2 linked regions of the Oryctolagus cuniculus genome follow. The protein of the gene in region 1 purifies or fractionates together with the protein of each later gene. This does not show direct contact. Links are inferred from orthologs where the notes say so. Each region holds a gene or a part of one and is shown on either strand. Other genes may lie near its edges.

The links. The genes of interacting proteins can lie anywhere in the genome.
Region 2: the proteins of CFAP20 (region 1) and CLASRP purify together in Homo sapiens (affinity purification with mass spectrometry; 3 studies listed by BioGRID and IntAct, counting the BioPlex papers as one, with this or other methods). This does not show direct contact. The link is inferred for Oryctolagus cuniculus from reciprocal best matches to the Homo sapiens genes CFAP20 and CLASRP.

What each region holds. Positions count from the first base shown.
Region 1 is NC_091449.1:41,503,655-41,507,845, forward strand, and holds the start of CFAP20 (cilia- and flagella-associated protein 20), read right to left. Parts: upstream 2,863-4,191; 5' UTR 2,557-2,862; coding exon 2,473-2,556; intron 1,945-2,472; exon of another isoform or gene 1-1,944. UniProt on the Homo sapiens protein: Cilium- and flagellum-specific protein that plays a role in axonemal structure organization and motility. Microtubule inner protein (MIP) part of the dynein-decorated doublet microtubules (DMTs) in cilia axoneme, which is required for motile cilia beating.
Region 2 is NC_091449.1:11,670,484-11,674,052, reverse strand, and holds part of CLASRP (CLK4-associating serine/arginine rich protein), read left to right. Parts: intron 1-758; coding exon 759-856; intron 857-1,307; coding exon 1,308-1,409; intron 1,410-1,677; coding exon 1,678-1,757; intron 1,758-3,325; coding exon 3,326-3,410; intron 3,411-3,569. UniProt on the Homo sapiens protein: Probably functions as an alternative splicing regulator. May regulate the mRNA splicing of genes such as CLK1. May act by regulating members of the CLK kinase family.

The DNA of each region.
Region 1 (4,191 bases):
GTTGCCGCTGCCCGTAAAGGAGCCGAGGCACCACAGCAAGCGGCTACAGCAGGAGCTAATGATGCTCACGCTGTCTGGCGACAAAGGAATTTCTGTTCTCCCAGAGTCAGACAACCTTGGCAAGTGGACAGGAACCACCCATGGAGCAGCCGGCACAGCAGACCTGAGGGTGCAAGCTCTCGTGGAGTTCCCCAGTGGCTACCCTTAGAAGGCGCCCACGGCGAAGCTCCTCACGCCCTGCTACCACCCCAACGTGGACACGCAGGGGAACTCTGCCTGGACATCCCAAAGGACATGACATGAGGACCACCCTGCTCTCCATCCGGAGCCCGCTGGGCGAGCCCCACATCGACAGCCCTTCGAACACACACACCGCGGAGCTCTGGAGAAACCCCACGGCTTTTAAGAAGCACCTGCAAGGAACCCACCTGGAGCAGGTCTCCAGCCAAGCCCCTGGACCCGGCCGCCCAGCTCCCCCTGCGCTGTCGTCTCTCCTGGTTCCTCCTGAGACGTCTGTCCTGTTCCTGATCTCTGGACTGGACTCTCTCTTGAGCTGTGGTGTTATTTTTTTTTTTTAAATTAAATACATACATTTTGGTTGTTTTTGTAAAAACATTTTTCAATCCAGTCTGAATAAGAAGAGGAGAAACTGGTAACTTCTACTGTGAGGATTCTGCTTACAATTCCTTCATCAGGTTTCTGTTGCTGAAACGCCTGTTTAATTTACTCCCTGTCACCCTGCCCTTGCACATAACAGTGTTTTCACGCCTGTTTATGTCATCAGGGTACCGTCAGACCTCTAGTGGTGTTGTTAAGAGACAAGAAGCACCATGGTTACTTTGCTTCTAGATTCCGAGTGTAAACATGCTGACTAGTCAAAAAGCGCATGTGGAAAATAAGACCCAGCAGGTCAAGCACAGAAGGGCTCAAACTGGCAACCCCGGCACGTTCACCAATCCCAAGGGCTCCTACGTGGCATTCTTTCAGTGCTAGTAAGTCCCTGGCCTGCTCCGGAAACCTCTCCTCCTAGGTCAAGCCCCATTCTCTGTTTCAATTGCCTAATACTGATCTTCATATCAGAATGCAGTTGTGGAATTCAACTGGCACGCACGGCTGCTCTCTGCACGCCTTCCCATAGCCCCTGACTGACTCAGCAGGAGCTGAGAAGCCCTCGTCCCTGTGGAGTTCCCAGGTACACTCGCTCGGGGTTCTCTCAGCTTTATTCCATTGAGAACAAAACCTCAACACTAAAACTCTCGGGAACAGAGTGAAGAGTGAAACAGTGTCTTCCTGTGCTCTAGCTGTGGACAGTACAATCGTGCGAAAGCCGTGGGTCAGATTTTCCACAGCGGCAAAGGCCCGGCCTCCTGCTGTTCGGTCTTCCAACCGTCTTCAGCACACCGCACTAGGAACACAGCACCCTCCGAGCTGCCTCAGAGCAGGGCTGCGCGCGACGACGGGCAGAGGCTGTTCACGTCCCCCCAACCCTGGCCGCGGCCCAGAGCGCTCACCTGTGGCGACAGGACGTGAGATGCATCCCGGAATTCCTGGCTTCCTGACCACTACACTGCTGCTTTAGGCTGCTGCCCTGAATCGCTGCACAAACACCATTCAGCCTACTCCTCTGCCTCTCCCCTGAGGACAGTACCAAGGAACAGTCCTTAAGCCACCTGGCGCCCACACAAGGTGCCTTCCTGAACTTATATTCAATAAACGGTACGGGCTGACGGCCGAGAACTTTCATGACAAACGAAGAACCGAAGCCACGAGGTGCAGAGCAACGCAGAGCCAGCTGGATCTTACTTAGCCGCTCCTGGAGCCCCGGGACTGCCTAGTGGGTGCCTGACTTCAGACAACAGGCTGGCACCTGGATCCGAGCTCACTGATCCGGACAAGCCCTTGTCATCACCATGCAGTTTACCCCAAGCACAAACTGGGCAAGGAAGGCGCGGTACGGACCCCTGGTTACGCAGAGCGTGGAGCAGGTGCACAGGCCACGATTTCTAGCTCGTTTGGGATCAGCGGGAGAGACGGAGCAAATGAATGAAACCCAAGCACCCGGCGCCTCCACAAGGGAGACGCACGCGAACAAGGGCCCTGTGTCCAGCGCCGAGCACCGTGCCTGGCACCAAACAGCGTTATCAGTAAAACCTCGTGGAAGCCGCATCCTTTCCTCTTTCCAGCTCCAAAGCTCCCTCACGGAAGCTCACGCATTTCACGCTATGAGGCGGGCACCAGCGACCCCACCATACTGAGGGGGATCCGTGGCCCCCAAGGATTGGGCGAGTGAAGTTTTCGGCGAGGGCCCGCTGTCCCAGGTACGCTGCAGCCGCAGGACACGGCCTCTCCCGCCACGCCCACCGCACGTGCACCCACTCTGGGTCGGGGCACAGCAGCGGCTGCCCGCCCCGGGCCCTCGGCTGAGCGGGCGCGGCCCGGCTCCCCGCCCAGCTGTCCCCGCCGGCCCCTGACCTTTTTGTCCCAGATCTGCAGGGGTTTGCTGCCGATGCTGTAGAGGATGGAGAGGAAGCCGCTCTGGAACGTGTTTTTGAACATCTCGCCGGCGGCCTTCCCCTCCGCCGCCCGAAGCCAAACTAGGCCTCGGAGGTAGAGACGAGCGCTGAGTAGCCAAGGGAAAGCAGGGAGCCCGCCCTACTCCAAAGAGACGCTGAGCGCCCGCTCTCCCGACCTGCAGCCACCCACGGCTGAACAAGGACACACGATACTCCCACAACACCACCCCCACACGGAAACCACAGCAACCGCCGCCCGCGCCGCTTCCCAGGAATAAATGGAGGCGGAGGGCCGCTCGCCGCGGGAAATGAATCCCTCCGCCCAAGTGAGCCCGCCTCCCGGAAGCGCGAGACCCAATCCAGCCACAGGAATCACAAACTTCCGGTGCCTTCCTCCCTTAAACCCCGCCCTAGCCCCGCCCCTTTGATAAAAGAACTCCGTTGCCAAGGGACTATTTTTTTCCATCTTCGTTCCACAGCTGCTTTTACCGCGGAAAGAGACGGAAGATGAAAAAACTTGTTGTTAGCACCTGCGCGGTGTCAAGGGAACGTGGCTGCGGGCGAGGCGAGGGGCGCGAAGGGGAGAGGACTGAAACGAACTGCTCAGCGGGTGCTCACCTGGGTGACCTGGGAATGCCAAGTCCATGCCTGTTGACTAAGCACAGATTAAAGGCAGCAAGAGTGTGGAGAACTCAGTGCACTAAGCGCTTCTTACCCTTCAGTTCCTAAGAGCCGCAGTGCAGTCAAAACAATACTCTGAGGAAAATGGATGGCCTTAAATGTGATTAGAAAACATAACAGCCTGCACATTAAGATAAAAGCAGAAATTAAACAAAATGAAGTTAGTTGGTTGAATTGAACCAACGGCTAATGTTTTAAAGAAACAGTCAACACTTAGCAACATTTCAGAAAAGACATAAAATAAGCTGTGAGAATTTAAGTGTGGAAGGAATCTCAAAAGTTGGAGCCTTCCCCCGTTACTGAATATCTTTCTAAATATGATCTGGTGTGCCTAAGCCTGGGTTAGGTGGTGTGGCTAATGGAAAAGCGATTTATAGATAACACCATCATCGTTACGGCGGTTTTCTTTTTGTAATCAATTACAAGAGTAAATCCAGTATGAACTATGTGTCAGGCACTAAAATAAATGCCTTTGCCTTTATTATTAACTCTTTTAATCCTGAATAATCAAGCCAGAGTCTCCAGGCACAGGGGGGAAATATGTGAATCTTAAAAAAAAAAAAAAAGATTTATTTATTTATTTGAAAGGCAGAGTTACAGAGACAGAGGCAGAAAGAGAGAGAGAGAGAGAGAGAGAGAGAGAGAGAGAGAGAGAGAGAGGTCTTCCATGCGATAGTTCACTCCCCAGATGACCACAATGGCTGGAACTGCGCCGATCCGAAGCCAGGAGCTAGGAGCTTCCTCCGGGTCTCCCACGCCTGTGCAGGGACCCAAGCACTTGGGCCATCGTCTACTGCTTTGCCAGGCCACAGCAGAGAGCTGGATGGGAAGTGAAACAACAGCTGGACCTTGAACCAGCATCCATATGGGATGCCGGCACTGCAGGCGGTGGCTTTACCTGCCTACACCACAACGCCGGTCCCATGTGTGACTCTTACTAGAGAGACCAAAATGTGTATATAAAACCGAATTTTGGATATGGATTCAGTGAAATAAC
Region 2 (3,569 bases), about 30 Mb from region 1:
GGCTCCTGGCTTCGGACCGGTGCAGCTCCGGCTGTTGCGGCCATCTGGGGAGTGAACCAGCGGATGGAAGACCTTTCCTTCCCCTCCCCTCCCGCCTCTGCCTCTCTGTAACTCTGCTTTTCAAGTACATAAATAAATCTTAAAAAAAAAAAATTTCTTGAGCAGCCACGCTACTGTGGCCAGGAGCCGGAGCCAGCACTGAGACCCAGCCGCTGCGGGGTGTGGCACGGGCGTCCTGGGCAGGTCTTTACTGGGCTGGACACTCACCACTTGGTCTAACTTGCTGGAGATCTCAGTCTCCCACATTCTTGTCAGTCCTTACTGTTTGTCCGTTCGGTTTCCGCCGTCGTCATCGTCGGGGTGCGGCGGTGGCGTCTGGTGGTCCTGGACGGTGTTTCCCGGGCGCTGCTGGTTGCTCGTCTCGTCCTGTGCCTTTGCAGCCTTGCTGTGTGGCTGATCCAGCCCGAAGAGGAGGCGGGGGCGGTGGGGGCAGCAGCGGAGACCAGAGGATGGTGTAGTGGGGAGGCGCGGTGCTGGCCGTGGGGACACTGGGCTGAGCGCGGGGCCTCCGCCTCCGAGAGGAAGCGACTCCTCGTCTCCGTCTCCTGGGGCTAGCCCCACTGGTGCTGTGCTGCCTGCGTTGGCTGGCGAGTGCAGGGTGCCCGCCTGAGGGCAGAGGGGAGCTCACCGTGAAGCTTGGTGGGGGTGAAGCTGGCCCCTCAGTTGGATGGTGACCTCCATCCTGTCCGCCCCCACAGAAAAAGGACCCAGCCCAGTTCCTGCAGGTGCACGGCCGGGCGTGCAAGGTGCACCTGGATTCTGCAGTTGCCCTGGCTGCCGAGAGCCCCGTTAACATGTGAGAGGCACCGGGGGCGTGGCGGCATCTGCACTTGGAGGACCGGGGTGGGGGGGTGGGGGGGGTGGGCCTGGGGCAGGGACCCTGGGGCCCAGAGGTAAGGAAGGCTGGACCTGCAGTGAAGGTGATGGGCACAGAGGCTGAGCCGAGTGGGTGGGCAGGGCTTGGGTTGGAGGAGCTCCAGGGGAATGGGCGGGGCCAAAGCCAGTGACCCAGAGAGGGCGGGAGGAAGTTTCAGGAGGATGGGGGCTCCTAGCAGTAGCCCCTGGGGTGGGCCCCGGGTCTCTCCAGGAGCTGTCAGACGGGTGGCCTGTTGCAGCCCGGAGGCTGTGGCTTCAGCATGGGGGACCGAAACTGGGGCTCCCGAGTGTGGTGGCGGGGACAGGCACTCTGTGTCCCGGGCAGTGGGGCCCCGAGCTCTGACCCCCCACTCCACCCCTGCCCGCTTCAGGATGCCCTGGCAGGGAGACACCAACAACATGATCGACCGCTTCGATGTCCGCGCCCACCTGGACCACATCCCCGACTACACGCCCCCTCTGCTCACCACCATGTAAGCCGCCCCCGCCCCCCGGGATGCCGGGCCGGGCGTCACGCCTGCCGCCCTCGCCCTCTTTCTGCCGGCCGCCCGCCCGCCACCTTCCTAGGAAGGAGGTGTGTGTGGTGGGGAAGACGCCCCTCCCACTGGGGAAGTTGAGGCTCAGGGTGACCCCCACCCCCGCCCTGCCCGAGCCTTCCCCGGCTGCCTCATCCTGTTTCCTGTTGGTGTGGGGTGCGGTCACCTCCTCCCTCTGACCTCAAGGCCTTGACCTCCCCTGAAGCTCCCCTGAGCAGGAGTCAGACGAGCGGAAGTGCAACTACGAGCGCTACCGAGGCCTGGTGCAGAACGACTTCGCTGGCAGTGAGTGCCTGGGCGGGCCGGGCGTGCGCGGGGTCCCTCGGCCGCCAGAGACCGCCGTGAGTGTGGGAAGACGTTTTATCAGGGGCTCCCTCTGCAGGGCCTCGAGTTCCCGTCCTTTTTTTCTTTCTGCGTATTTTCCCTTGCTGGCACGGACCAGACTGTCGGCTCTGAGCGAGCACTGGTTTCAAACGGGACGTTTGTACCGTGTCTGGCAGTTTGCTAAGCATTGGTGAGCATCGCGGGCCTGGCCTCCTTGCCGATGCCCCCCCTCCCCCAGTGAGCAGGGCGGGCTCAGAGAGAGCGCCCCCGGCCCGGCCTCCTGCAGGGATGTCAGGCCACGCCGCACCAGGGCTGGCTTGTCTGTATTACCCTACTGCACCTGCACCTGCACCTGCACGGCCGGGGGGGGGGGGGGGGCGATGGCCCGTTGGCAGATAAGGATGTGGAGGTTGAAAGCATCCCGGGAGCTGGGGTCCGCCCCTCTGTCCTCTGACGGCAGCTCCCGACTCAGGAACGGGGCTGGCGCCTCTCAGGACGTCTGTGGGGAGCCAAGGCAGCAGCACTGCCTGCGGGCGCCGGGGCCGCTGGCTCTATCCTGGGCCTCGGCAGGGTGCAGAGAGGTGGGGCGTGTAGAACCCCGGCGGCCGCTGCAGTGGCGCTGTGATTGGTTTTGTTTCTAGGATAGGTGCTTTTGCGTCTCTAAGATCAGAGAGGGCCAGATTCTAGCCCTCAGTGAGGCCGTGGCGAGGGGAAGCTGGTCATGAACAGTGCTGTAGTTTGTCGTCACTCAAGGCCGCAGCGGTTCTTGGTGGTGGAGCCAGGTGTCTGTGTCCTGCGTCCCCTCCCACGTGCCGTGCAGCACTCCCTTGGTGTGTCAGGAAGCGTCCTGGGGGCTGGGCTTTGCGGGGGAGGGCCACCTAATCACACCAGCGATGGCAATCAATCACACGCCAAGGTGGTGTCACGACAGATAGTGACCGCAGCTGGGGTCTGGAGGGTAGCTGGGGGGAGGGGGAGGGGAGGGGGGACCAGCACACTACAGGGCAGATCAAAGGCAGAGAGCCCGGGAGCGCGCGTGGGGCGGGCCAGCGCGGCTGGAAGCCAGGAGGACTGCATCCCTGAGCGGGCCAGCACGGCTGCCTCAGGTCCCAGAGGAACGCCCAGGGCCTGGGGGGAAGGGTGCTCACCAGCGTCCCAGCCGACGTCAGGGACACGCTTCTCACAGCCCCCCAGGCCAGAGGAGGCCGTGCCACGGCGTTGAGCTCGCCCGGGTGGTTGTGGGAATTTAGGGAGCCCAGCTCATCCCTCACCACACGAGGCACTCACGGAGCAGCCTGTGGCGTCCAAGTGACAGGCGGCACTCAGAGCACGTTCGAGGTTCTGGCGCACGGCCTCCCTGACGGCGGCGCCGGTGGCAGTGCCCAGTACAGGGCACTCGCTCTGCCCGGAAAGGAGGGTGGGCACGGGTGGAGTCAGTGGTTGGCCAGGACGTCACTGCCACCCGACAGACTTTGGTGACCCACGAGCGCCCCCAGCCCGCTCTCAACTCGGTCCTCTGCTCGCTGCAGTCTCCGAGGAGCAGTGCCTGTACCAGATCTACATCGACGAGTTGTACGGGGGCCTCCAGAGACCCAGCGAGGAGGAGAAGAAGAAGTGAGTGGGGGCGGGGCGGCAGGGGGCGGGGCGGCACGCGGGCCTGGCTCCTCGGCGCTCTGTCCGCCGCTTCTCGGACCCCGCGAGCTGAGGGCAGTGTTGGGCCTGCAGTGGGTACGCAGCGAATCAGTGCTTAGTGGAGGAGGTGGCTGGACGGCT